Linked DNA regions of Tamandua tetradactyla. The protein of the gene in region 3 binds, or shares a complex with, the protein of the main gene of each other region. Links are inferred from orthologs where the notes say so. Each region holds a gene or a part of one and is shown on either strand. Other genes may lie near its edges. The genes, in order: RBL2, TFDP2, MYBL2 and E2F4.

Region 1 (7,176 bases), on a different chromosome or scaffold from region 3:
GACAGAATGATATAACAAGTATGGCAAAAAAAAGTTTAAACTGGTGGATCTGGGTATTGGGGGAGAAGGATGAGGTATGGTGGAGTTCTTTGTATGCGGTTTGTATTATTTTATTATTGTACAAGTTTAAAATATTTCAAAACAAAAAGTCAAAACAAAATTTAATTTACAACTGAACTTCTCTCTCTTACATCCACATATCTTATTAATATAAAATTAAGTCACAGCATTATCCTGTGTTTTAATGAAAGGTTTGCAGTAGATGATTTTTAATGGTCTATTTTGGTTCTAGGGAATTTACAACCATATCATTCCCAAAAAGAAGAAACAAAATTAGTCTTACATATTATAATTTTATAGTGCTTAAAGAACAAAGTAGACTGAGGACCTATTTCTTAATTAATGTAGGTCTACTAGGCTACAGACAGGTTAAAAGCAGGCTCCGTACCTGGTTTCCCTTTGGTCCTAAAAAATGTTTGTTGAAAAGCCCCTGATGCCCACAACTCCCCTCCTCCACCAAAAAAAGGCGTCACTCTCAAAATTAACAACTCATGGTCATACACCTATGGGGTCAAGTAGATCTGGGTTTGAATTCCGGTTCTGCCATATATTTACAACACCTTGGGAAAACTTCTTAGGTTCAGTTTTCTTACCTAAGGATAATGAGAATTAAATGAATTAATCATAAAGCTCAGAAAATACAAGCAATCAAAAAGTACAACTCTATAACCAGTATTCTGTATTAAATATCATGTGAGCTTTATTTTCCTTTGTACACTCCATGAGAATGACATTCCATGTTATCTCACATCATATCTAAATATAATGTCCACCATAGTAGGAATTTTTACCAGTTTTCTTCATTGCTTTATCCTCAGTACCTAAAACAGTGTACACAAAACAAAGAAATATTTGATAAATGGATGGAGTTTCATGCATTAACTGGGTAAACTGAGCTAAGAAACTGAAACTGGAGTCTTTTCAAAAACTCAAGTAATAGAATGTGTTTTCAAAAATAATTTACCTCCTATCTGCTATGCACTTACATAATGCTGGCCTTCATAAAACTTAACCTTTATATATCGGAATAGTTCTACAGTATGGTGATAATGCTGGCTGTACCTAATTTGCAGGATTATCCTGAGGGTAAAATAAGAGCTTCTTGGAGGTCCTTAGGCCCTGATCAAATTAAAAAAAAAAAAAAAAGGAGTCCTCTTTGCCAGACCAAAGGACAGAAAGCACTGAGAGATAAAGAAAAGCATGGTCTTTCCAGCCATATCATTGAGTACATGAAAGAACTCTGTAAGATCTAAAGCACTGTCCATATGAGTGCCTACTATGTACCAGGAACACACATTACCTTATTTAACCTTCAGAAAAGCTCTGTGAGGTAGGTAAAAATAACTACCGTTTATTTATCACAAATTTGAATTTTGTAGCAGTTTTGTCTCAAGTCATCTAGGTCTGTCAAATCCCCAAGTATATTACTCTATCTTTCGGTAGATATAACAAAGGGGAAGAGGGGGTAGTAGATGAAATAAAATTCTATTAATGCAATAAAATTTTTTAAAAAAATAACCTTTGTCAGCAATTACACTTTAGGCAAAAACACAACCGAGTTAAATAATAACGTAGATCTTCACACCCTGGGCCTATTTGCCCTACTCTTTCCACAAACCGCATATGAAACAACTTAAGAAAAACAAATGGCCTCATGTGTAAACGCCAGACACACGGGCAGTGAAACAGCTGATAAACCACCCGGACTTCCGTACCACTTTCCATTCGGCCCAAAAAGAGGAGACCGCCTGCTCAGTTGACGATTACTGGCTAAATGACCATTTTTCCCATCTGTGCGACCCATACGAAGAAAGAGACATGACATGCCTGGGTCATGACATGTCCTGTGCAATGTCTGAGGTGACCAAAAAAGATCCTCAGAGCAGTCGCAGCTCTGACTCACTGGTGATTAGTGGGGGCGTGCTTCTATATCCCGGTAGGCAAAAAGTTCATTTAACTTGACCTAAGGAAGATTAGTCTTACTACCGTACATAAACACGGCACGAAATTTAACAATACATTAATTCAAACGATTCGATGCCTCAATGAAAGCAATTTGGTACAACAGGAAAAGAAGTGGAGGAGAAGCCTAGAGACCTAAGGCGCTAAAATCGGATCAAACGCTGAGCGAACCTGGGCAAATCCCCTTCCTTCCCTTCTCAGTACAGTGTTGACAACCACACATGTTCATTCTGCCAATCGGGTACTCAGGGCTGCAAAACGACCACACAGGCCCATTTCTGTAATGGTGACTGCAGTACAACCTCAGCCTCGCCGTTTTACTTAAGGACAAGACGTGTTTCCCATTCTGAGCCAAGAGGAAAGAGCAGCAAGACCAGATTCACCCTCAGAGCCGCTAAGAGACTTTTAAAAGCCTAATTTCCAAGACTACAGTGGGCAGAAAGGATTCCCATCCCGCTCCAGGCTGGGCGCCCGGGGCCTCTCCTCGGGTCCCTGCGGGTCGCCCCGTCCGGGGTGAGAAGGCGGGGCCCCATCTCCGGAGCGGGACACAACCACTAGGCCCCGAGAGCCCCCTCGCCTCCTCGCACAGACGAACCTCCAGCGTGTAGCTCTCGCTCATGTTCCGGTAGCTGTCCCAGGCCTCCGCCCGCGCCGCCTCGTCCATGTTCAGGCGGCTGCACAGCTCGTCGAACCGCCGCTGGGTCTGAGTGGCCGGCGATCCGGCCGGCTGCGCGACTTCCCCCGCCTCACCGTCGTCGTCCTCCTCCTCAGCCTCTGAGGCCGCGGCCGCCGGCGGGGGAGGCGGGGGCGGCGGCGACTCGTCGCCTCCAGACGGCATATCGCACCCCAGGGCGGCTGGTCCTCAGGATAGTCGAGGGCCAGGACCCAGAGCCATTCAAACCGTGAAGCGCCCGCCCGTCAGTCGCTCTCTCCACGACTGCGCTGCTACCAACGGCGCGGGACCTCTTATGGGCTCCAGTAGTTGTGAGCACGGCCTGCTGGGAAATGTAGTCCAGTCCGGAGGCTTATGTGGGCCAAAAATTACGTAAAAAACTTGTGTCGTCACCCCTGGGCAAAAGGGTTTCTCCGCGTTTTAAGTGCCTCTCCACGGCGAGACCATCTAGCAGAGAGAAAAAGAAAATGTCCAAGAAACGTTGACAATGAAGGTTTAATGTTCAAGCTGTCCCTAGAAATCATAACTCCTCGTAACCTGGGTTTCTTTATCTAAAAAATTAAGATAACAGCAAGGGCTTATTTGCCTAAATTCAAATCTCCACTCCGCTCCTAATTTCTAGTTTTATCCTATGTTTTAATTTTATGTGAGCCTTTAAAGTAGCTATTGGATTTTTTTTAATGCAGAAATTATTTTTTTTCCATAGGGTGACTTTACATTCCGTCTAACTCACATATGTGTACTACTCTCAGCCACCCAGTTGGTTTAACTTTATATAAAGCTGTGTGTGTGTGTGTGTGTGTGTGCGTATGTGTGTGTGTGTGTGTGTGTATTAAATAAGAATTGCTGTCTTGCTATTTTTGCTTTGCGCAGTGTGGTATGTAAACTGAGGTAGAGAACTAAACTGCTTGGGACAAAAAAAAAGGAGTTATGGAAGATATAGGGGGAGGAGAGAGGATAGAGAGGGGAGACTTGGCTAGATAACAAGACACCTTAGGGACAGTTTGGAGACAATGAAACCCTCTCTGTGAAACCTGAGGTAAAATTCACATTAATTAGTGACCCTTTTAGGACTGAATTTGCTTTGTCAATGCTCAGTTTCAAGGTGACTCTGGGACAAGAATAGAAGCCCTACACAAACAGTTTACACGCATTTGAAAGAAGTTTGTAAAAGTTCTCTTTCCTTATATTTAGGATGGAGATACTAAATTTTAAAATAATGATCTTACTTATTTTGTATACTATTATCACACTTTACCAGGGGTAAAACTTGAATTGTTTATTGAAGTAAAATGAACTTCACTATTTTTAGTAGAATTTAAACTTTATTCCCATTACATATGTATTTTATTAGAATATGATTTATTTTAATATGGTTATATTAATATTTCTTTTTAGTCTCCAGTGTCTTGGAGCAGTTAGAAGCAAAACTTAAAATTGTGAAACTGTAACCTATACCAAACTTTGAAATCTGTTCTATAACTAATTGTTAAAATGTTCTCTGAACATACTAAATTACTTTCCAGAAACCTACAACCTGTAATTGGAATCCTAGGCCAGATAAGTCCTGAAACTCAGAGGGGCCAGCCTCTCCAAGAAAATCAACTAGTTCCATCCCCTGATCCCATACTATTGACACCACTTTCCAACATGAAAAAGTTAGAATGGGCATAACCCAAATACCCCTAAAGATTGGGAAAAGGATCAAAAGAGGAGGAGTGTGCTGGTTTGAAAATATTATGTTCCCCCAGAAAAGCCATGTTTTAATCTTGATTCAGTCTTGTTGGGGCAGCTGTTTCATTTAATCCGGTATGTTGGAAACTTTTGATTAGAATATCTCTACAGAGATGTGTCACGCCCAATTGTGGACATGACCTTTTGATTAAATGGAGATGTGACCCCACTCATTCCAGGTGAGTCTTAATTAGTGTACTGGAATCCTTTAAAAGAGGAAACGTAAGAGTCAGAAATGACAGAGCAGACGGAAACTTCAGAGCAGAGTTGACAGGCAGAAAACATGGATATGGAAATGCCATGAGATGTTAAGCAAGTCAGAACCTAAAGAGAGCCAAGGGAAGTCAAGAGATGAGAGCCAGCCCTGGAGAAGCAAAGTGAGGAGCCCCCACAGGAACAGAGGTTGAAAACGACAAAGCACAGGAGCTAGGGACCAGCAGACGCCAGCCATGTGACTTCCCAGCTGACAGAGCTGTTCCAAACAGTATCAGCCTTTCTTGAGTGAAGGTAATCTCTTGTTGGTGCCTTAATTTGGACGCTTTCTCTTCCTTAGAACTGTAGACTTGTAACTTATTAAATTCCCCTTTGGTAAAAGCTGTTCCAGTTCTGGTATATCGCATTCTGGCAGCTAGCAAACTAACGCAAGGAGTTATAATAGAGGATAGGATTTAACAAATGAGTATGACTGTGGAATCATTATATTAATATTTCTTTTAGTCTCCGGTGTCTTGGAGCAGCTAGAAGGAAAAACCTAAAATTGTGGGACAGTAACCCATACCAACCCTGAAATCTATTAAATGACTACTTGTTACAGTATACTTTGAAATTTATTGCTTTTTTGTATATATGTTATATTCCACAATAAAATGTTTAAAAATATTTAACATCAGTATTTTCAAGAGAATTGGTTGCAGATTGTATGTTCAAAACATGGCCACAACAAGAAACCAAAGAGTAAATATCGTATGGTCTCATTTAGAAAATAGTTATAAGAAAACTGGGGCCTAGATTATAAGCTTTTATAGCAGTTAGTCTGGAGTGGTGATTGTTATTTCTGGACATTGAGGGGCTGTTTTATATATGTATAACCTGTTTTTTAGAGATAAGAACAAAGCTGATCAGGTTGTGATTAAGATAATTCAGAATACAGGGGTAAGGAAGAAATTGCCTATATTTTAGAACTTCACCTGCTCTTTGAGACCAAAAGAAGAAAGGTTTATTTTGTCCAGAACCTAAATTTTCAGTAGCACATAATCTAGCTCAGATAACTCATTTAAACAATCCACACACAGGGAGCCCAGAATAAGAATGAGAGTCTTGAATCCTGTATAGCTTAATGTAATGCCAGGATACATCCCAGAGTATATTAAGTAGGTAATCAAAAAGTACTGGCAAAGCCCCTTGAGGAATGGGAGAAAAAAATATGAAGCTATTAAACTTTACCTCCAGGGAAACCCCGGATACTGTGTCAAACATTAGGAACACCCAAATCAATAGGCCAAGCCCTTGATCTTGAGCCTTGCTCTTGTGAAGCTTCTGTATGTAGCAGAGAAGCTTAGCCTACCTATAGGTATGCCTAAGAGCCACGTCTGGAAGACCTCTTTTGTTGCTCAAATGTGGCCTCACTCTCTCTAAGCCCCACTCTGCAAGTGAAAACATTGTCCGCCCCCCGCCCCCCCAATATGGGACATGACATCCAGGAATGAAAGTCTCCCTAGTGGTGTGGGAGATGACTCCCAAGGCTGAGTCTGGCTCTGGCTCTGTGGGATCAACAATGCCATCCTGGCCAAAAGGGGAAAAGAAGTGTAACAAATAAGGTTTCAGCAGCTGAGAGAGTTCAAATTGAGTCAAGAACCTACTCTGGAGGTCACTCTTAGTCATGTTTCAGTTAGACATTGCTACCTAGCATAGCTTGCCAAACTCCAACCAAAACCATTTCTGCCAATATTAAAGAACACCTAGGGTGTTTATAAGACTACAAAAGTTCCATGCGCTAGAGTAACTTCCTAGAAACCTACAACCTCCAGGTGGGTCCCTGGACCAGATAAGTCCTGTAATGCAGAGGGGCCAGCCTCTCCAGAACATCAACTAGTTCCGTCTCTCTATCCCATAATATCAACAGCCCCTTCCGACATGAAAAAGTTAGAATGGGCATAGCCCTAATACCGCTAAAGAGTGGGAGAAAGATCAAAGGTGATGGTGGATTTATACAAAGATGGTCAGGTTTAACAAATGAGTTTGACTGCTGAATCATTATATTGATATTTGTTTTAGAGCAGCTAGAAATAAAACCTAAAATTGTAGAATTGTAACCCATACCAAACTCTCAAATCTATTCTACAACTAATTGTGGTGATGTGCTTTGAAATTTATTGCTTTTTATATATATATATGCTATTTTTCACCAAAAAAAAAAAAGAGAGAGAGAGAAAGAAGATTATAACAGAGAAGACAGGATTTAACAAATGAGTATGACTTCTGAATCATTATATTGATATTTCTTTTGGTCTCCAATGTCTTGGAGCAGCTAGAAGAAAAAGCAAAATTTGGTGGAACTGTAATCCACCAAATTTTAAAATCTGTTCTATAATTACTTGTTAAAATATACTTGGAAGTTTTTTGTATATATGTTCTTTTTCACAATAAAAAAGAAGCTAAAATAATTTAATAGCTGACATTAAAATTTCTTCAAAGAAAGAGGTAAGGTTTTAAAATGAGCCATTTTTTAACTTTTTATTTTGAATTAT
Region 2 (7,621 bases), on a different chromosome or scaffold from region 3:
CATTTACAAAAATTAATGCAAAAAGGATGTAAGATCTAAATATAAGAACCCAAACTATACAAACCCTAGAATAAAACATGTTTTCTTATGTTAGGCCACGGTTTCTTATACTTTACACCAAAATCATAAGCAACAAAAGAAAAAAAGAGAAATGGGACCTCATCAAAATTAAAAATTTTTGTGCATCAAAAAACTTCATCATGAAAGCAAAAAGACAACCTATGGAATGGGAGAAAATACTTGGAAGACATATATCTGATAAGAGTTTAATATTCAGAATATATAAAGAAATCCTACAACTCTACAACAAAGACAAAACAGCCCAATCAAAAAATGGGCAAAAGAACTAGAATAGCCATTTCTCTAAAGAGAATATACGAATGGCTAATAAGCACATGAAAAGATGCTCAACATCATTAGCCATTAGAGAAATGCAAATCAAAACCACAATGAGGTACCATTTCACACCCACTAGAATGGACACTATTAAAAATAATAATAATAAGTGTGGGAGAGGATGTGGTGAAACAGGAATATACATTCATTACTGGTGGCAAGGCAAAACGGTGCAGCCACTGTGAAAAAGAGTTTAGTTGTTTCTCAGAAGTCTAGAGTACTACCATATGATCCAGCAATCCCACCGCTAGGTATATACCCAGGAAAATCGAAAGCAGAGATTCAAACAGATATTTACACTCTGATATTCATAGTAGCATTAGCCACAACTGCCAAAAGAGGTAAGCAACCGATGTGTCCATCAAATAATGAATGGATAAACAAAATGTGGTATATATATATATATGATGGAATATTATTCAGCCACAAAAAGGAATGAAGTTCTGGTACATGCTACATCATAAATGAACCTTGAAGACATCATGTTGCATGAAATAAGTCAGCTACAAAAGGACAAATATTGTATAATCTCAATGATATGAAATAATTAGAATGTGCAAATTCATAAAGTCAAATACTAGAACACAGGTTACCAGAGGATGCCATGGAGTCAAAGACTGAAGAATTAATGCTAACGGGTAAAGAGTTTCTCTACGTGGTGATGGAAAAGTTTTCATAACAGATGGTAGTGATGGTAGCACACAGTGAATGCAATTACCACCATTTAAATGTATATTTGAAAGTGGTTAAAATGGGAAATTCTTAGTTGTATCTATATGTTATCATATAAAAATTTTAAAAAACCATAGAACTGAACAACCTGAAGAATGAACCCTAATGTATGTAAACTATGGCCTACAACTAATAGTTTATCTACAGTAATACCGTTTCATCAATTGAAACAAAAGCAGCACACTAATGCAATCTGTTAGTAATATGGAAAACGACAGGCATGCAGGTAGAGGGGAGGTATATGGGTTTGTGAGAACTCTGTACTTTCTACATGATTGTTCTGAAAACCAACAATTTCTCTAATTATAATGATAAAAGAAACAATGGACTAGAAATCAGAATACTTAGGTTCTAGTTCACCACCTTTTTTGTTTATTTTATTTTTCTTACTCTATTTGCTTACCATGTTCTAAAAACTCTCAAATACATAAAAAGCCTTTTAAAATAGCAAAGTGCCTAGACACTTGTTTTTGTGAAGCTTATTTCTGTAGCAGAGAGCCTAAGTTTACCTATAGTTATACCTAAGAGTGACTTCCAGAAAACCTCTTTTGTTGCTCAGATGTGCCTCCCTCTCCAAGCCCAGCTCTGCAAGTGAAATCATTGCCCTTCCCCCCTACCGTGGGACAAGACATCCAGGGGTGAAAGTCTCCCTGGCAGGATGGGACATGACTCCCAGGGACCAGCCTGGACCTGGCACCACAGAAGAGACAACACCTTCTTGACCAAAGGGGGGAACAACACTGTAACAAAACAATGTGTCAGTGGCTAAAAGGGTTCAAACAGAGTCAAGAGGCTATTCTGGAGGCTGCTCTTATGCAAGCTTCAGCTAGCTATTGCTAATTACCAAGGTCTGCAAACTGTGACCAAAACCATTCCTGTTAACCCTAAAGAACACCTACGACTCTATGTGAGAGTCTACAAAAATTTCACGAATTAAGGTTGCTTTTCAGAAACACACAACCTCCAGATGAGATCCTAGACTAGATAAGTCCTGAAAACCAGAGAAGCCAGTCTCACTAGTTCCATCTTCTGAGCCCATATTCTTGACACCCCTTTCCAACATGATAACGTTAGAATGGGCATAACCCAAACAACCCATAAAGACTGGGAGAAGGATGAAAGGAGAAGGAGGAGTTGTAACAGAGATGACAGGATTTAACAATATAACATAAACAATATAATATCATTATACTGATATTTTTCATCTCCAGTGTCTTGGAACAGCTAGAAGGAAAAACCTAAAACTGTTAACAGTAGCCCATACCAAACTCTGAAATCTGTTCTATAACTCCTGGATACAATGAACGTTGGAATTTATTGATTTGTATATATATCATAATAAAAAATGTTTAAAACAGCTAAGTGCTATGTAAATATAATTCATGCATTATGTACAAAACAAGACAGTATTTCTAACATCTCAATTCCTAATTAAACAAGTTGCTCTTTGAACATTTTAGGGTATGTTTTAGCGTACAGCTTTGATCCACAAGCACACGCTTTCCACATGAAAGGTGAGCTTATTGCTACACCCCATTTCAAGCTGCACTGCAGCGTACACAGACCAGGTAGTTTCAGAATTTCGGCTGTAACGGGAAAATACGAAGGAGCCCGTTGGACCACACATTCACAGGAGTTGGCGGAAAATGACAGGATCACAAAATGGCAATGCGAAGTCCTGCACACTAGAAAGTTTCAGCTTTCTTTCCTACGTAAACAAGCAGAAAGGAGGAAAGCTGAGAAGGGAGGGTTAGCAAGTCTCGGAACTCGACGAGCCAACGTACGCACCCCATCGCTGCCGCTGCCCCTGCACTCCCAGAAGGCGGCGGGCGGCGCGGCCCTGGGGGCCCCGGGAGGCGCGTGCGGGGGGCGGCTCCGGGCGGCGCATCTCCGCCGGGCTGGGGGCGGGGCGGGGCGGGGCGGGGGGGGCAGGCGCGCGCAGCCACGGGGGCGGTGTCTCCGCCGCGCGACAGGCGGCCCAATGACCGGGGAGGCGGGCTGCCGCGGGCCGTCCTCCACGCCGACTTCTCCGGGTCGTCCCGAGCGGCACCGAGGTCGTGCTTCTGCCTCGCCGAGGACGGGCGGAGGCTGCGTCTGCGTGAGGGGGCCATCTCCGGGGAAGGAGGACCGCGGCGCGGGGCCCTTCCCTCCACTGGCCTCCAGGGCGTCCCTCAGGAACACCACACCCGGCCCCGCGACGGAGGAGGAGCGACCGGCCAGCCCCGCCTCCGAGGCCCGCGGAGAACGCGGCCCTTCCGCGGCGCGGGCCGGGCGGCGGAGCGGACAGAGGGCGGGCCCACGGCGGTCACCCCGCGCCGCGAGCGGAGCAAGCGCGGGACGCTGCCCTTCCCGGCCCCGCGGGGCAGCGACCGGCCGGCAAGTGTGCTCCCGCCGCGGCCCCGAGCCCACGAGGCGCCGTCGGGCCGTTGTGGCCCCCTTTGGCGGCGGGACAGCACGGGGCGCACCCATTGGTCCGCTGGACGCATGACGCAAGGCGTTGCCCGCGGCGGATTGGCCGAGCCGGCCGTGCGTGCGAAGATAAACAAACCTTGCCCCAACCCTCCCGCCTGGGGCGGGGCCGCGCGCCACACCGCCCCGCCCTCTTCGGAGTCGGCGCGGGTCCGGGCTTCCCGCGCTTCTCTGTTCCCATAAACGCTCTTTTTTACTTTTCACTTGATAAGTATGTCTTTAAAAAAAAGTGTATTGAGAACCCTTCACGCACGTACAGTCTAGCCATGGTGTACAGCCAGCGGTTCACATATCACATCACCGTGGCCAATTTTAGAACATTGGCCTCACTCCAGAAAAAAAATTAAAATATCATGTGTCCCCTACCCCTTATCCCTCCCTCTCATTGACCACTAGTATTCCCATCTACCCAATTCATTTTACACCTTATCCCCCCTGTTATTTGTTTTTCATCTTTGTTTTTTACTCATCTGCCCATACACGGATAAAAGGAGCATCAGACACAAGGGCAGACACTGTTTTTGATGCTTGGGACACACCTGTGGACAAAACAGACCCGCTGGCCTCGGTGGAGCTTGCGGTCTAGTGGGGTGGGAAAGACCATAGAGAAAAAATAAGCAGAATAGAAAGTTACATGCTGGCAAGGCTACGGAAAAATTAATTATAGAAGGTGCTCACAGGTGGCTTCAGTATTAAAAACGGTGATCAAGGAAGACAGCAGTTAAACGAGGATGGAGGGGCGAGAGCACCGTGGATCTTTGTGGGGGACAATTTCTGCGTAACTGCGCTTAGGTAAAGGGCTCGGAATCCAAGAACGCCGGATGCAGGACTCCCCCAGTCCTGAAATGCCAAAATCCCGGAGGAGCGATTAACTTACATTTTCCACTAACAAATCATAAGGATCTATTTAGTGCCTACAAGAAATTTTGTTAAGGTTATATTCAATTTGATTTAGCAAATAGTTATCGAACTCTCTAGGCACTGAAGATGCAAAAACGACTGAGGCGGACAGAACCTCCCTTTCCAGGAACTGGGTCAGCCAGGGAACGGGACTCCCACCCCCAATACACGTGTCAGGCAGCGATGGTGCAAGTACACACTGGGGCTCGGGGACTATACTAGGCGGCAAGGCATTATTGAGAAGCTGTAGTTGTCAGTATATCTCTTATCTATAAAAAAAAGTATGCCCAATTATGCGGTAAGGGTATGGTTTAGAAATCGGGGATTAATGTTTCTAAGGTTAAGAGTGAAGTGAAGGTAATACTAAATTGAATCATATGAAATTGGCAGTATTCGACAATTTTCATGCAGTTCCCCTTTCTTGCAGTTAATATGAGGATTTTGCTTATATAATATATATAGTAAATATTCAAGAAATGATGGAAATTGTTATAATCATTCAATAATATTGATTTTGAAAAAAATGTGTAGGTGTTTCACAACACTTCCTAATACCACAACGTAAAATGGACCAAGTTTCAAATTTCCCATATACTGGTGTGATCTAGCTGTGAATTTCCATGAGCTCATCAGAACGTGCTGTAAAAGACAATAAAAGCCGATTTCACAGCAGGCCAAGAAATTCAGAATAAGGAACAGCCTGGTTTTGAAGCCAAAAACTGAAAATTCTCTAGAACAGAATAAATCATCAAGTTGCCACAGGGAGGAAAACTTCATGTAAATCAAATTTTCCTTCCCACTCATAACTCCAGCTGAGCAATTTGCACAACAGTCAATTTTCCCTCTTCGTTCTCACTTCCCCATTAAAGGATCCTCTTCTCTCTGAAAAGGAAAATGAAGCTTCCACCATCTCCCGGTTCTGGCGAGTAGATGTCTAAACCGTGATAGAATCGAGCTTATTGATTCAGCAAAAACTTAGGAAGTAGTTACTGTATGCCCGAAACAGTGGCGGGCGTTGGAGAAGTAAATATAAATGTCCAAAAAGCTCCATTAATCTGGTGTTTCTGGTGCTTCGAGCGATCCCCTAGTTCTTGTCTAAGCTTAACTACTTTCTCCGGAAAAGCTTCGTCTAGCCCCACCCCAGCTGTGCTCCGCTGCGACTCAGACGGCCTTCCTGACACTCACCGGACTCGTGACTGCGCACTTCGTGTCCGAATCCTGTGACTCTGGGGGGGTCACAGCCTTGTCACCCTGTATTCGCTACTGTCTCTTCGGTGCGTAAGGGAAGAAGAGCAGGTGTTATGGAAGGGATGAGAGTGCGGCGGCCGAGGGCGTCGGGGAAGAAGGAGGGTCAATCTCCCACTTGCATTTGTGTGGGCTGTCCACTAGGGGGCCAAGCGCCGTGTGAGGAAGACCAGCCTCCCTCACAGCTAGACCAGGTGACCTGCCCCGTTAGACCTGGTGACTGTCACTTTGAGAGCTGGTGACCTGGCACGTTAGACCTGGTGACCTGCCACGTTAGACCTGGTGACCTGTCACATTTAGACCTGGTGACCTGCCACCATAGACTAGGTGACCTGCCACGTTAGACCTGGTGACCGGTCACATTTAGACCTGGTGACCTGCCACCATAGACTAGGTGACCTGCCACGTTAGACCTGGTGACCGGTCACATTTAGACCTGGTGACCTGCCACCATAGACTAGGTGACCTGCCACGTTAGACCTGGTGACCTGTCACATTTAGACCTGGTGACCTGCCACCATAGACTAGGTGACCTGCCACGTTAGACCTGGTGACCGGTCACATTTAGACCTGGTGACCTGCCACCATAGACTAGGTGACCTGCCACGTTAGACCTGGTGACCTGTCACATTTAGACCTGGTGACCTGCCACCATAGACTAGGTGACCTGCCACAGTTAGACCTGGTGACCTGTCACAGACCAGGTGACCTGCCACCGCTCCATCCTCACATCCACTCCTGGCGCTGGACGCTCTTTTCTGCGTGGGCTGTGAGGACACCTGCCTGTGGCCTCTCCCACACGGATGCGCTCAGGAGTCGTAGGGGGTTCCAGCCGGGGTTCAGACCCGCAGCTCTGGGGCGCAGTGTAGGCCGCTTTTCCAGCACGCTTCCTGGCGTGCCGCAGGGCAGGCAGCCACACGCTGGGTCACAGCTTCTCATCAGACACAGCCCAGGGTCAGCGGGGTCCAGAGAGGATTGCTTCTAAGTGCCCCGTGGCACCTAATCTGCCCGGGGCTGCCAAGGGAAACGACACACCCAGCGTCAGGTCGGACCTGCCCTGGGGACACGTCCTGTGGGCAGTCGGGCCACCTTGGGGCCAGGCCAGTCCACCTCTGGGGTGACTGTTAGGGGACGGGAAGGGTTTCACAGCCACGTGGAATAAAGGCAGCTTCTTAATCCCAAACCTAAAGCCCTTTTTACGATAAAATATCTTCTTCATCCTCAGACATGTACAGTAAGCGATGTGAGGCCGGAGGACTCTGGCTGGACCCTCACAGCAGCCTGAGGAGGAGAGCTGCCGCCCCGGCGTCCCCACCAGCCCCGCTGCCCTCCCAGAGGAGCCCGGCACCCAGGCCGCACCGCCATCCCGGGTTTCTCTTTCTGAGTTGGACACCTGTGTGCTCCTAGCCAAATCTCTTCTTTAGTTTCGCATGTTTTTGCACCTCATGTATTTGGTGCCAAGCCATTATTTATCCACAAACCCTTTTTTCCTCAACATTATGTTTAACATCATCTCTCTTGCTAAGTGCAATTTATTCATTTTCACACAAAAATAACAATTTACATAATCCATTTTCTTATTGATAGGGCATTTGGGTCCTTTACATCTTTTTTATCCATTATAAAATCTGCCACTATGAATATTCTTGCACATGTCATTAGTTACATACAAGGGTGAGAAGCAAAATACTTAGCAACTGATAAGGCACAGATCTTGGCCTAGTCTCCGTCCCTTCTTCCCCTGAGAGAAGCTCTTATGTGCAGGTAATTTTGATAGATGAATCCAAAGAACAGGAGTGCTGGGCTAGACAGCAGGGAACCTGAAGGAGGGAAAGTGGGTTTAAGGATGTGCTGCTGAGACCACCACAGCTGGGCCCAC
Region 3 (7,112 bases):
CTGACTCCTTTCACTTAGCATAATTTGAGATTTGCCAAGTAATACTACATCGTGTGGATACACTACAATTTATTTATCCAACGACCTGTCGATGGACATGTGGGTTATTTCCAGTTTGAAACTATTACAAATAAAGCTATGTTCAAGTCTTTGTATGGACATAAGCCTTCATTTCTCTTATATAATCCTAGGAGTGGAATGGCAGGGTCATATGGTAGATATAGGTTTAAGTCTTTAAGAAACTGCTATATTGTTTTCCAAAGTGGTCTTTAACAAACCACTAAAGTGTTTTTCAAAGTGGTTGTACAATTTTATACTCCCACCCAAAATATTCAAGAAGTATAATTACTCCCCATCTTCACCAACATTTAACATTACTCTTTTTAATTTTAGCTATTCTAACAGGTTTATAAATCCCAGTTGGTATTAATTTTCATCCTGACAACTAATGATGTTAAGTATCTTTTTATGTGTGTTTTGCACCTAGATATATTTTGAAGATAAGGGTTTGAGGCCAATAGTATTTACTGATAGATCAGATGAAAGCGATGTGAGAGAAGAGTCAAGAATGACTTCATTTTCTTGCCAATCCCTGAGTATTTCCTAATCCTTCCTGCTATGCACTGGCTGCTCCCTCTGCATGAAGTACTATTCCCCACAATGGCTACCTTGCAAATTCCTTAAGTCACTCAGTTTCGAAAAGCCTTCAAATCTGCTCTTGGTTAGGCACCCACAGTTCTTGTAGTTGATCTTCACCCTTAAATGGCTAATTTTCTCTTTACTCCTTGTCTCCCCTATCAGCTGGTGAGTTTCTGGAGAGTATGCATGGTTTGGATTATCTCATTATGATAGCCTAGCCTCAATTATTTCAGCATATTTTCACAAACAGTACTTTCCAAATAAACATTTCAAATTGTGGGTGCTTTGCTGCAAGCTGGGTAATCATGACAACTTAACATCTTTGTGCCCAAGTTTCTTTATCTTTAAAATAGGGAACCACATAGTCCCTGCTTCACATTGAGGTGAGCGTTAAATGCAAGATGACTGTAGAACATGTGCCACACGTTTTCTTCCCCAGTAATATCTGGCACATGTTTTCTTCCCCAGTAATATCAAGCTATTATTTTCTGAACTGAATACTTTGCTGTTCCTTTTCTGGAACTCAAACAATATAACTAATTTGCAAATAGTGTTTTACTGAAAAACAGTCCTTTGTTTCAAAGTCTCTCTCAATGTTCTATACCACACAAGATAAAGTTCAAACTAGCATTCCAGGTCCTTTCAGTTCTGGTCCCTGCCTTCCTAACTCTCCACCTGAAATGTTAGTTTGTAACATTAAATTCACTCAAATTAAAAAAATGTGTGAAACTCCTTCCATGACTACCTGCCAAGAGTCAAGCAATAGGGTAAAGGTCTGAAGCTAAAAATATGATTGTGGAATTGCCCTCTGCACTGGAGAGAACCACAAAACTGGGGGTAGAGTAAGTGTAGTTAGGAGGACACATATGACAAGGAGGGTGCTCAGTAGGTAGAGAGGGAAAGACTCCAGGCAGAAGGGCCATGGGATGCTACTCATCATTTTTTATGTCCAGCCTGGTGCGAGGCCCTGAGCATTTAATAAATAGATTTGATCCTTGACTTCCCAATGCAGGAGCAAGGCTTGGGTCTGGGACCTGGGGTGGAGCAGACTTGTCTTCCAGGGGCAGACTGTAGAATGACCAAATGGCTGATGCCTCCCTGCCTGAGAAGGGCATGGTCAGGAAGTCTGCCAGCAAAGTACAGTTTGTGTGTTATTAATTCTGGGCCCAGGGACCATTCCCTGGTGAAGCTACATCCAGGATGCAGGGAGTTCTTTCTTGGGGTGGGGAGGAGGTGCCTGTTGGTATGATAACTAGAGACAATATACTGGTGGAGATTACCAGATTTCAGCTGGCACTAGGATGATCTCCTTGCTGCCTGAACACCTGTACCGACTCCAGGCCCCTCCCACTCCAGTGACTGGTCAAGGGGCCTCAGTTCTAGGTTCCAGGTGGACTTCAGTTGCTTCCTGCCTCTTGCTTTGGGCAAATATCCTGAATCTACTGCCAGGTCTTGTCCATCCCTGTCCACATAAGAGTGTGTGGTGTGTGCAAAGGGCTCCCTGGACCTCAAAAGAAAAAGTGAGGGTAGCAGAAATGTTACAATAATAAAAGCTAATAGTAATAGGGTACTTATTATGTGCCAGGGACTGTCCTCAGTGCTTTGCACATACTAATTTATTCAATCTTACAACCACCCTACAGAGGATACCAGTGAAGTGATTACGAGCATAGACTCTAGAGCTAGACAGTGCAGTTTCGAATCCCTACTCTGCGATTCACTAGCTGTGTGACCTTGGGGAAGCCTGTGATTCAGTTCCTCCATCTGCCCAAAGGGGATAAAACTAATGACTACCCCATAGGGTTATTATAGAGATTAAATGAATAAATGTTTATAAAGCACACAGAACAGTGGCTGGTACAGAGTAATAGCTATTGAAGTTTTTAATAAATGCCTTTTTTGTGTGTATGCTATATGGCGGGGTCATATGTCATTATTTTTCCATGTATACTGTCATTGCAGCACCACTTGTTGAATTTGTTTATTTGTTTTATGGGAAGTGCATGGACCAGGAACCAAACCCGGGTCTCCCGCATGGCAAGCAAAAATTCTACCACTGAACTACCCCTGCACCCCCCAGTAAATCCCATTTTTGTAGATGAGGGAACTGAGGTACAGAAGAGTGATTTTCCACTAGTAAGTGGTGGAGCTGGGATCCAAACTCCAAGCAGTCTGGTTGAGAGCCGGAACTCTTAAATTATGCTCCAGCAGTGAAGAGGGGGTGTCCACATGAATTACTTTATGAGAAAAGTAATTACATTGAGGTGGGAGGAGCTCTGAATGAAGTGATGTGGAAGGTTCTAGCACTTACCATGTCAGTCTTCCTCATGCTGTGGTAAGTGTGCCGCTGCTGGCCAGACTGGCCAAGGTGGCCAGCAGTTTCTGAAAGAGGGATCCATAGCACAAGCAGGGTCTCCCAAGCTCCTGCCCCATAGTTCATTCACTTTGGCCCCAGCACTACCAGGGAGTCCTGGGTGCAACTCATGGCAAATCCTCTCTATACTTCTAGGAGTTTAAGTAGGTAAAAAATTAGAGTCAGCTCGATAGACGTTTACATGGGGCCTTGGCCAAGGTTTGAGCCTGGGGATAGCGAGGGGGCTCCAGAGGCCTTTAACCCCAGATGTTCACAGTTCAAAGGGGGAATCACGCAAGTGAACAAGCAGATTGCGGGCAATGGGCAGCAAAGATAAATAAGAACTGGCCAAGTTGGAGGGGTGGAAAGTGTCTCTGGTCCAAGCAATGGCAAGAAGGCTAGGAATTTTCCTTTGGCCCCGGGCGGGAGGGGAGGGCGGTGATCGCGCAGAATCCTGTAAGACTGAATAGGGAGTAAGGAATTTACCCGGAGGAAGAGAAGCGAGGGCTTCAAGTTCTCGGAGACGGAAGGTCAAGTTTGCATTTTAAAAGGGTCGGTTGGGCTACGAGGAGACTTCGAGGCTGGAGAGGAAACGGAGACGAAGGAGCAGCCCTGGTCCAGGTAGGGGCTTGTGGGGACCCAGGAGCGCCACTCGGACTACTGGGGCTTTTGCACAGACAGTGTGCCCGACGTGACTATCCGTCGTGGAGCCTCCCTCGCGCTCGGCCTGAGCCAGGCATCAGTCACACGGCAGCCCGCGGCGAATGGCAAGTTCCAAGACGCCTGCCACTCTCACGCTTTCCCGGGGCCCGGGGGCTCTGAAGTTCTCGGGTTCCGGGCCCGTGTGGCCCCGCCCCGCCCGCAGGCCCCGCCCCCCACGCACGTCCTCCCGCCCGCGCGTCAGGCCCCGGAGGCGCCGTCGCGCTTGGCGCGAGATAGGAAAGTGCTTCTGTGCGCGCCGGCGGCTCGGCTGCCCCCGCAAGCGGGCGGCGGGACCTGCGGACAAGCTGACGGCGCCCAGCCCGGCCCGGGGGCCCCGAGCGGCCGGAGCAGCCCGCGTCCTGGCCCCGGCCTCGGCCCGGCTCCCGCTCCGGCTCCTGGCTCAGCCGGCGGGCGGGCGGGCGCAGCGCGGCCCGGGCCGGGGGGATGTCTCGGCGGACGCGCGGGTGAGCAGGGCAGGGCGGGCTGAGGGTCCCCTGCCCTTCCCCTCCCCCCACCTTCCCCACCTTCACCCATGCCTTCGCCGTGATCCCTCTGTGGGGGTTTCCGCGGGAAATGCTGCCGCCTGGGCGGTCAGAGGCACGGGCGCGCGCGAAACCGGGGGGCTCTCGGGAGCCCCTCGCTCCGCTCTTCGGGCCTCCTCAGTCTCCGAGCCGTGGCGGGCGGGTCTCCTGGGACCCGGGCCAGGCCCTGCATGATGTCATTTTGTCTCCCGCCTAATTACGGCGTGGGGGTGGGACGGCCGGTGTCAGCTGGAAAGGCTTTTACATGGGAAGGAAGCGATCCCTGGAGAGGGAAAGTGACCCTTCGAGTCACAGTAAAGTGGGAGGTTAAAACCTGGAAGACATCCTTCAGACCTCAGTTACGTGCACATTTGCGGGTGGGCATTTCAACCCAGCATCCCGGGAAGCATAGCACCCCAAACCCTCTGCCGCGGCCCGAGGAGGGTGCTGGCCGGGGGCTCTTTTGTCTCCTCCATCTGGGCTCCGGGCCCGGACAGGTTTAGCTGCAGAAACCCCTCTTCCTGTTCTACTCGGGGAGTTTTGGCATCTAGGTTTGCAGGTGAGGGGAAGAGAGCCAGATGTGTATGGAGTCCGCTGGGAGCCAGCAGCCCCTGGGGTAAAGGCAGGAACTGCGGTCTCTTACTTATTCACTCGGAGGATAATTGGCAGAGTCGAGCTTGGAGCCGGGTCCATGGGCCCCAGTTCCCTTTGTCACACTTGTGTGCCTGGGGCCTGAGCTCTGGGCTTTTTGGCCAATCTGGGAGTCAGGGGACAGTGGTATTCCACCCCGTTCCCTCCCTGGAATCGTTTGGCCCAGACAAACCTTAGACCCACTGCAGATGGTGGTGTTCACCTTCTGGGTGGAGGTTACAGACCTTGACTCATAGCTGGCTTTCCCTGCAGTGCCTCTTAGCAGGGAAGTCCCATCCCTGGGCAGTGGCAAGGTCCCTGACACAGGGACTGTCTTCCTCAGGCCACAGTATCCTAGGGCCCGTCCAATTGCCAGGAGTAGTTTTCTGGTCCCTGGAAGTACTGGGGCACTTGTCAGACCCTGTCTGATTTTTGGTTCAGGAAGTATTGCTCCAGGAAGTGACTATCCCCACTCCATCCCCAGTTTCTCCGCAGTTGCATCTCCCCTGAAGCTTAGTGGAGTAACCTCCCCCCACCTCCTGTGTGGGGGATGGGTCCCCATCCTAGTACCCCCACAACCCTTAGCTGGTTTCCTGGCCATTTACTGTAATTATCCACCCCAGTGCCCTTGTTCCTCCTTAGGCTCTGACTCACCCTGGCCCTGGAACAGAGCCAAGCACAAACAACAAAGCAAAAGAAAGGATATGTGGGACTGAAATGGCAAGTGGCTTAACACTATGCGCCTCCACTTCTACATCTGTTAAATGGGAGTAATGGTAGCGCATATGAAGGGGACAGCCAGCACCATGTCCTGTGAGTATATTATCTCACAGGACTCCCTCAGCTGTCTGAGATGCTGTCCCATTAACAGAGCCCTGAGGCACCAGTTCCAGGCAGACACACCTTTAACCCTTTAGGGAACATTTGTTGAGCTCCCGCTAGAAGCTACACCCCATGCTGTGTTGCTGGAGAAGCAGAGGCGATTTCTTTCAACAAGTAGTTTGGGGCAGCTTAAGCCAGTTTCGTTTTGCTTTTAATATTTTGTAAATTTTCTGCCTGCTACTTTGCAGTGATGGAAGGACCCTGTACAGTGGGGTGCAAATGACGGGATGAAGCTGATTAGTTAAACAAGCTTGCTTCCTCTCCTGTTTGTAAAAATTTTGCTTGAACATTTCTTGTCAGCTAATAGGCAGCAGTTCCACATGTTTTTTCATTTTTTGTGTATCCGGCCATTCCCTGAGCAAACACTCATTAAGGCCCTCCATTGCCAACCCACATCTGGTCCTCTGTGGATGTAGAGATGTTGCTGACCCAAGATAATCGTAGAGGAGACAGACAGCTGCAGCCTAAGAGCCTACATTCTGAGACAGTTTTTCCGTTGTGCTGTAGAGCGACTCTAGGAAGTGATGCCAGGTTCTAGCGAAGAAGGGGAAAAGAACATGGACATGAAAGGAAGCCTTCTTCCTTCCTCTGGGCACAAGTCCTGCGATCGCCTTGGTCATTTGGAGATGTCTAGGCTTTTCTCAGTTTACGAATTCCTGACTTAAGAGTACACGTTATGAAGGCGACCTGGTGTAGGGCCCTGATGCATGGCGTTGGAAGGTTACTAACCTTCCGTGGGCACCTGACATCCCTGGAGGTGAGCAGTGTGAACCCCATTTTCCCAGCCATTAAAATTATGAGGCTTTTGGAGCAACTTGGAAAATTGCCTGTTCTAGAATAAAATAATCCATAATTCTCTGACTCTGCCTGTGTGTAGGCAAAGATTGAAAAGGAATATGCAGAAATGGAAATACTTACTGAGATAATGATTTAATTTTTTTCCCCAGAAAGTTAGTACTTTCTTAAAATCCTGTTATAATCCGTGCATAATGATTACATTTATCATCAGCATTAATCCCTACTCTATCCATACAGGTTGCGGGTATTCTGCAAGTTAAAAAAAATTGTTAAATCCAGAAGAAAAACATGAAATGGGAGTCTGGTTTTGAGTGTCAATGATAACATTCTGGGTGAAACCTTAACCTTTTTTGGGGGGGTGTACCTTTTGAAACATTAAAACTTTTGTTAAAAGAAAGAGGATGAAGGAAAAAAACCACCCATAACCACATTTAATTAAAATTAAAAAGAAGAGTAGGGTGGAAGTGCCTGATTTTTTCAAAAGTATAGAAGTGTAAAGCCTTCCTCCCCCAGACCTTGCCCTGGAGCTGACAGGCCGCCGCCAGCACTCAGTGCCTGTCGGTCAGGTAGCATTAAGTGAGAGTACG
Region 4 (7,200 bases), on a different chromosome or scaffold from region 3:
CAGGATGACCACAATCCTAAATCCCAGGCCAAAGGAGAGCCAGGCACTGGCAGATACCCAGAATAGGTAACTTGGAAATGAGTCACTGAAGGAGGCAAAGCATGAGGCCTGCTGGAGGGAACTCATGGGTGACATGGCTGCTGTGGCCAAACTTCAGGAGGGGCTGCCAGGGAAAGTAAGGCACAGGTGGATATGGGTGGGTGGGGGGATAAGAAGGCCCCATCAAACAGTTTCCCTGTTAAAAAGAGCTTGTTCACTGCCATAGCAAGGAGAGGCCAGGTGGGGGCTAGGAAAAGGACAACTCCAACAGGGTCCCTTCCAGCTCTGGCATCGCATTCCATAACACAAGGTGCAGCTCTTGGGTGCCAGGAAATAACCTCCTCACTAGCTGCCAATCATGCCTCACCTGTGCTCTCAGCTGCTGGGCTGGCCACCCCCTGGACCTCGGTGCTGCAGGAGATAGGGGTAGAGGTGGTCAGCTGGGGACTGCTTGGGCGTGAGGCTTCCAGGGGCTGGGCCAGGGCAGGTTTGGGCAGAAGTGGAGGGGTAGAGATAGTAGGTGGGCCCTGGAGCAGATCTTCCGGTGGTGGAACAGGCACAGCCACAGGGGGCGAGCTCCAGGCCTCCTTGTTCACCAGCAACACCTCGATGGGGCCACTCACACTCTTCAGATGAATTTGGTACTTCTTCTGCCCATTGAGGCCCTGGAGGTTGGGGGTAGGGATGGTGGACAGGTATTGGGACCAGACTTGGCTCCTGCCTGTTCCTGGGTCAGGGCCAGAGTGTCCTCTCCCACCCCAGGCTGCCCGTCCTCCTAGATAACCCCAAACCCCAGGCCTCCCCCTACCTGCCCCACCCGGGACTTATCAGGCTCCACAGCCAGCACCCGCCCTCAGTCATCCCCGCCTGCCTGAGCTGAGCACCCACCTCTGGGATGGGCACCTCCAGGCTGGTGCCCGATGGGGCCCGGATGGCCAGGAGGGTGTCTCCTAGAATGAGAGGAAGGATGGGTCAGAGCCCACAGACTCAACTTCAGCTGGAATGAGAGTGCCTGCCCTTTGCAGCAGATCATGGTCTCTGAGGGGCTAGACAGTAGGCCTCACCCACACCCCACAGTGGATGGGGTAGGAAGCTGAAGCTTTTCTCTCACCAAGAGTCCAGTGGCCAGTAACTAGAAAATATGGGTTCAAATATACAAAGCAAAAGATCGGTAGTCAGGAATACCTCACTGATGCACTGATGGGGCTGTTCCCTAAGTTCAGGTGTTCTAATGCCAACATCCCTTCCCCAGGAACAACCTAGGGGATGTAAGGTAGAGAAGGAACGGCTCTTGTACCCACATGAAACTAAGCTATCATTAGAAGTGGACACCACTGTCCCCTGCATATAAGCATGCACACACATGCGAATGTGCGCACACACACACACAAACGCTCTCTCTTCCTTGTCCCTCCATCATGCCCAAGAGGCCAAGCCCAGGGAATGGTGCAGGTGGGGACTACAGACTTACCCATGCCTGATTTCTCTTTGGTCAGGCCCAGGAACCCTCCTAAGAGATGGAACTCTTCTTGGGCACTGAGCCCAATGCTCAGGGCTGTGGCTCAACCCAGGCCCACCCCCATCTCCCCCTACCCAGGCTCTGCTCACCAGCAAAGCATCTGCAGATGTCCTCATGAGTCACGTAGGCCAAGGTGTGGGGGTTAAGGAGAACGGTGGATGCCCTGTCTATGGTAACAGAATGGCGACCACAGAGAGGACACAGCTTTTTAGCAGGTGTCTGAGATAAAGACCCTCAGAAAAAGTACTGGAGTCTGAAGTCCACATGGGGAGGGACGACAAGCCAAGTCTGGAGGGGAAGGAACTCTGAGGAGGGAACCCAAGGAAGCGATCCAGCCAGAAGCCTCAGGAGCATCCTCCCAAGAGACACAGGGCTAAGGGCACCAGAGAGCAAACCCATCTGGACCAGAGGGCCCCTCACCCATGCCCCCAAAGTAAAGACTGCCAGCAGGATATCAGCTGTTCTGCACATCCTCTGTGACGTTCCGGATGCTCTGCTGCACCCACACCTTGTGCTGGTCCAGTTCTTGCTCCCGCTGCTGCAGTTCCTCGATCTCCGCCTTGAGCTCAATCAGCTTGTCAGCAATCTCCCGGGTATTGCAGCCAGGCCCCACACCTCTGAGCCCAGGAAACGGAGCTGAGAGAGGCTGCCAGGAACTGAGTCCCCTGGCCCCTGCTCTCACTTGCACACACCCTCCCTCACCCTACGCCTCTGACACTTCTGCATAAGAGATCCTAAATGCCCCCACTCACTTCCACTGGATGCTGTTCTTAGATTTTTTTTCAATCAGCCCGATACCTTCCAGCACATTGGTAATATCATAAATCCGCCGCTTCTGGCGCACAGCTAGGGTGTCAGCTGCCTGGCAGACAGAACAGAGTGGAGGGTGGTCAGCCCCTTTCCCAGGTGTACTCCTAGCCACGTATCTATTAGACAAAAACTCCCACTGCATCCGTCAGGTCAGCAGGCCCCAGCTACCTTGAGACTTGATGTGCAGTTGTCTGGCAAGGGGGCAACCTGAGTCCCAAACCTCCACTCAGGCACTACATAACTTGGGACCACAGAGCCAGCCACGAGGGCCAGCACCTGCAGCCCCGCGCCGGCACACAGCTGACGCTCAATGCCCTTTGCCGAATGAATGAAACATCTCCGGGACCTCCCTTCTGTGAGAAAGCACACGATGGCGGCCTGCTCTCGGAAGATGCAGTGGGACCGCCCCAGGGGTTCCCGCTCCCGGCCAGGCCTAATCCACCACCAACTCCTCCGGTCGTCCCCTTAGCCCAGGCCGCACCAGCTTGAGGTCAAGCACGCCGTCCTTGGCCTCCTGCAAAAGCGACACGAACTTGGTGGTGAGAAGTCCCAGACTCTTCTCGTGCCGGCTTGGAGTGCCCGGGGGCGGCGGCGCCTGTGGCCCGGCCTCCGCCATCTCGCCCGCCCGCCGCCTCCCCTCAGCCAGGCCAGGCCAGGCCGGCGCCGCCGCCACTTCCGCTTCCGCTCCTGGTCGACCGGCTGCCGGTGCCGGCGACCCTGCTTCCGCTTCCTCCCTTCCAGGGAACTTGGCGCAATTCCTTCATGTGAGCACCGCCGCAAAACGTTAGGAACCGTCGGAAAAATTTAACCGCCAAGGAGGGCGAAAACAAACCGGAGATCCCGAAAACAGGACAGAGTTGGGAGGGCTAAGGAGGACGTCAGTGGATGGCCCCCGCAGTAGAGAAGGGAATGTCACCGGAACCTTTCTTGCCAACCTTCCTTAACACTGCTAACTCCGCTCCAGACCCTATCTTGGGAGAGGAGACCACCCTGCTTGCTGAACCCAATATGTTCTCCTAAACCTTTTCCTGGAGTTTGCCCCACCCTATTCCTGTCCTTCATTTCCTAACAGCCAGCGCTAACTACATTTAGCTTGTCCACTTCCTCTACATCCCAAACCTCCTGCTCTGGTCCCAGCCTCAGTTCTTTCTTTCTTCCTTCTTTCTCTGCTCCACACCACAGCGCTCAAAGGTCTAGTTGCTGCCATAAGATTACAACCACTTTTTAGCCCATGCAAACATGTTTATCTACGTGTAAATGTGTGTAAAGCACTTAGAGCAGTTTCTGGCACGGAGAGCGGAATATGTTCTTGCTAGTATCATTTTATTTTTAACATTGTTATTTATTATGTTTTACTATTGGTCAAGTTCTCTGGGAAACAGACCTTGAATCATGGATATGCTTGCAAAAAGTTTACCAGGGATCCACGCTTCTAAGGGAGTACAAGAAGCCGAAATCAGGCAGACAAAGGAATTAAGTTAGAATGCAGTTATAATAGAGCCCTCAGCCCATCCCATTAGGAGTTTTGAAGCTGGGTTGGCCCTTCAGAGATGTTCTAAATCCAGACAAAGATCTGGGTCTATGTACCTTAATAATGACCGAGAAGATGCAGCTGTGAGCCCTCAGGCCTGTAGGGCAGATTTGGGAGGTACAGTGGCCGCTACCCAGTACTATCCTCTAGTCCCTCCAAAACTCCCTACAACTCTGAGGACAAGAAGCCACCTCTTTGGCACGGCTTTCAAGGCCTGTGACCCCCTTCATACCATCACCTACCACACAGCCTCTTCAGAACAGCCTGTGGCTACTCTCCTCTGCAGAGGCAGGCACTTTCCCATCAACACACTTCATACCGCAGTGTTGTAGTCTGCATCCATATCTGCACACCCCACCCCAACCCCCGCCCCAGGTATGCCTGGGTCCTGAGCACGAAGGAGGTCCTGAAGTGGGCTGGACAAGACTTGCAGTTTTCAGAGAGTTCAGCCCCCAGCCCCCAACCCTCATGGAGGTGGCCCCAGCCCTCCCCACTTCATCCCACAGTGCAGAAGCTCTTTCCTGTTGGGAATAAAGCACCAGAGACTCAGCTTCCTTCCTTTCTGTGTGTGGCCTTGGGGAGGGAGGGGCCTTGGAGGGAGAAGGGGGCTGGGAGGTGGGAGAGAGGTTTCCCCAGGGACAGGGATTCTATTGCATGGCCAGGAGTGGGCTGGAGTCACCCAGACCCTGTGAGGGAGGGAAGGGAGTGAGAAGCTCAGCTGCAGGACTGGAGGAGACAGAGCCATCATCAAGGCCAAGGCCGTCTGCAGAGGAGGGGGAACTGAGTGCCTATGCAAGCCTGGTGAGTCCCATACTCACCAAACTGTCCCCTGCAACTCAGAGCAGGAACAGGGCCCAGCGGAGGCCTGTGCCCACCCTGCCTCACTGTGTCTGGAGGAGCACAACTAGGAAACTCAGCAGGTAAGGCCTCCCTCTCATTTCCGGAGGGGGCTGGGCAAAAACCACCCTCCGCCTTCTTAGAGGGGCCTAGACAGAGGCTGCAGCTCAAAGGAGCATCCACTGAGCTCATTCTAACCCAGATCCTTGCCTTGCATTCCTACCGCAGCTCCAGCTCCTCCAGGGCCCGCCGTGGACTCTGCCAAGGACGAAATGGAGCCTGCCCTTCTGCCTGGTATGAGTCCTGGGTGGGCTGGGGGAGGGATGAAGGAAGGAAGATGGGAACGTGGGCTTGGGTCCTTCCTTGGCAGGTCTGGTTGGAGCTAGGGGACAGGCGGGAAGGGGGGCAGGTTCGGCAGACATTTCCTGCAGGCCCTGCCAGACTGACGCAGCTGCCCAGGCTCTTCCTGCCCAGGGCCTGAGTGGCCAGAGCAGGAGAAGGCGGAGCAGCTGGCCCGGGGTGCCGCGCTCAAGTGGGCCTCCGGCATCTTCTACCGGCCCGAGCAGCTGACCAGGCTGGGCCAGTACCGTAGCCGCGAGATGCAACGCACCTGCTCCCTGGAAGCTCGCATCAAAGTAGGCATGAAGTTTGGGGGAGCAGGAGTACTGGAGATGTGCTGCGGGGTTGTCCAGGCCTCACTAATGGCTTCCCTCCCACAGTCAGTGATGCAGTCGTACCTGGAGGGCGTGCAGACTGGTGTGGGGCAGTTGGCACAGGCCCTTGAGTCCATGCAGGGAGCCCGTGAGGCCCTGGGCCAGGCCTGTGGGTTGCTCCAGAGCATGGCTGAGTCTGCAGAGACCCTAGCACCCTTGCAGGAGCAGGTGGCCCAACATAAACAACTGAAGGCCCTGTCTCAGCTGCTGCCCCGGCTGCAGGCAGGTGAGTGTGCTGGGGTCCCAGGCCTCAGCTCTCCAGCTCCTTCACTGATCAAGGGGCTGGGGCACTAGGTGGGGATCACATGGAGGGACACACCAGGAACCTCCCAGGGTTCAAATGACATGTGAAGCATATGTAATTCAGTTCATCCTGGGTTTTCCAAGCATGGGTTGTCTGAATTAGGACTGATACACAGGCACCCTGGTTACAGTGAACTATTTTCCTAACAGGGTGGGTGAAAAGCCATTTGTGTGGTCCCTAACTTCTTCTGGAATCCCTGACTTCCTCTTGTTCCATCAGCCCAAGGGTCCACACATGGTCCACCAGGCTTCTAGAATTTCACTTGTGCCCTTCCAATGGGCCAGTGTTCCACCGTACTGATTATTAACATTTACATATCACCCCAGCCCAGGTCTCCTCACCTGCTGCACCTGTTGCACAGGTATTAACTCTGAGACCAGGGCTGTCTCCTGTGTTCTTCATTAGTGCCTGCTGCAGTGACCCACACACAGTCCCTGATTGATGCCCAGCAACTCCTCGAGGCATATGTGAGCCTGCGGGAGCTGGAGCAGCTGAGAGAGGAGACCTGGGCACACCTAGGGGACCTGGAGTTGCCAGATCTTGAGGGGCTAGGCCCTCTGGCTGAGGCACTGGGCCAGGCTGTGGAGATGGTTGCAGGAACTGCAGGACAGCTGGCCCGGGAGGACCCTGCCCTGCTGGTGGCTGCTGTGCGCGTGGCTGAGGTGGAGACTAGACGCACAACTGCCTTGGGGCAGGCCCCCCGGAACTGGCGGCAGCGCTGTCTGCAGGCTCTACAGGACGGCCTGGAGCGGGTCCACTTTGGGACACATCTACTGCCTGGGCCAGGTGCCCTAGCAGAGTGGCTGGAGGCTCTGCAGGTGGCACTGCCAGCCGAGTTGGCCACAGCTGAGGCATTAGTAGCACCCTGCTGCCCACCGCACTACAAGGTGGTCCAGCTATGGGCTCATACCCTGCACAGAGGCCTGCGTCGCAGCCTGCAGCAGGTCCTTGCAGGGCCTGAGCTGGGTGCTGCTGACGCCTTCACCCTTCTGCATTGGGCCCTGCATGTGTACCTGGGGTCAGTGCCCTGAGGGCAGCGGGAAGTGGGTGGATTGGAGACTGGGGACTCATTATGACCCCCAGCTACCCATCTTCAGGCCAGAAATGATGGGGAGTCTGGAGTTAGGGCCAGAGGCTGATGTGTCTCAGCTGGAGCCCCTACTGTCCCTGGAGGATGTGGAGTGGCTGGAGACAACGTTTGTGGCCAAAGTCCAGGTGAGTGGTTGGGGCATGGGTCCAGAGCAGCCCTGATCATTAGTTGTAGGTTTTTGTCTGTACAGTCACTGTCTCTGGCAAGGTCAGTGCGTTGCTACCTCCTGCTGCTTCTTACCCCTTTCCCCAGGCAAGTGTGGCCCAGTGGCTGCAGAAGGCACTGGATGGGGAGGTAGCCAAGTGGGGCCAGGAACAGGAGCCAGACATGGACCCATCCGGCTTCTACTACTCACCA

What was found.
Region 1: MYBL2 (region 3) and RBL2 share a complex: the UniProt entries of both Homo sapiens proteins name them as parts of the DREAM complex. The link is inferred for Tamandua tetradactyla from reciprocal best matches to the Homo sapiens genes MYBL2 and RBL2.
Region 2: MYBL2 (region 3) and TFDP2 share a complex: the UniProt entries of both Homo sapiens proteins name them as parts of the DREAM complex. The link is inferred for Tamandua tetradactyla from reciprocal best matches to the Homo sapiens genes MYBL2 and TFDP2.
Region 4: MYBL2 (region 3) and E2F4 share a complex: the UniProt entries of both Homo sapiens proteins name them as parts of the DREAM complex. The link is inferred for Tamandua tetradactyla from reciprocal best matches to the Homo sapiens genes MYBL2 and E2F4.

Annotation. Positions count from the first base shown.
Region 1 is NC_135342.1:47,206,679-47,213,854, reverse strand, and holds the start of RBL2 (retinoblastoma-like protein 2), read right to left. Parts: upstream 3,002-7,176; 5' UTR 2,861-3,001; coding exon 2,618-2,860; intron 1-2,617. UniProt on the Homo sapiens protein: Key regulator of entry into cell division. Directly involved in heterochromatin formation by maintaining overall chromatin structure and, in particular, that of constitutive heterochromatin by stabilizing histone methylation.
Region 2 is NC_135341.1:86,245,288-86,252,908, forward strand, and holds the start of TFDP2 (transcription factor Dp-2), read right to left. Parts: upstream 3,003-7,621; 5' UTR 2,917-3,002; intron 1-2,916. UniProt on the Homo sapiens protein: Can stimulate E2F-dependent transcription.
Region 3 is NC_135327.1:8,518,824-8,525,935, reverse strand, and holds the start of MYBL2 (myb-related protein B), read left to right. Parts: upstream 1-4,109; 5' UTR 4,110-4,138; coding exon 4,139-4,158; intron 4,159-7,112. UniProt on the Homo sapiens protein: Transcription factor involved in the regulation of cell survival, proliferation, and differentiation. Transactivates the expression of the CLU gene.
Region 4 is NC_135342.1:60,882,889-60,890,088, reverse strand, and holds the start of E2F4 (transcription factor E2F4), read right to left. Parts: upstream 3,021-7,200; 5' UTR 2,985-3,020; coding exon 2,850-2,984; intron 2,421-2,849; coding exon 2,311-2,420; intron 2,176-2,310; coding exon 2,014-2,175; intron 1,692-2,013; coding exon 1,648-1,691; intron 990-1,647; coding exon 928-989; intron 705-927; coding exon 407-704; intron 1-406. Other genes in the region: EXOC3L1 (exocyst complex component 3-like protein), read left to right, coding at 4,554-4,700, 4,965-5,030, 5,456-5,675, 6,159-6,771, 6,851-6,968, 7,096-7,200. UniProt on the Homo sapiens protein: Transcription activator that binds DNA cooperatively with DP proteins through the E2 recognition site, 5'-TTTC[CG]CGC-3' found in the promoter region of a number of genes whose products are involved in cell cycle regulation or in DNA replication.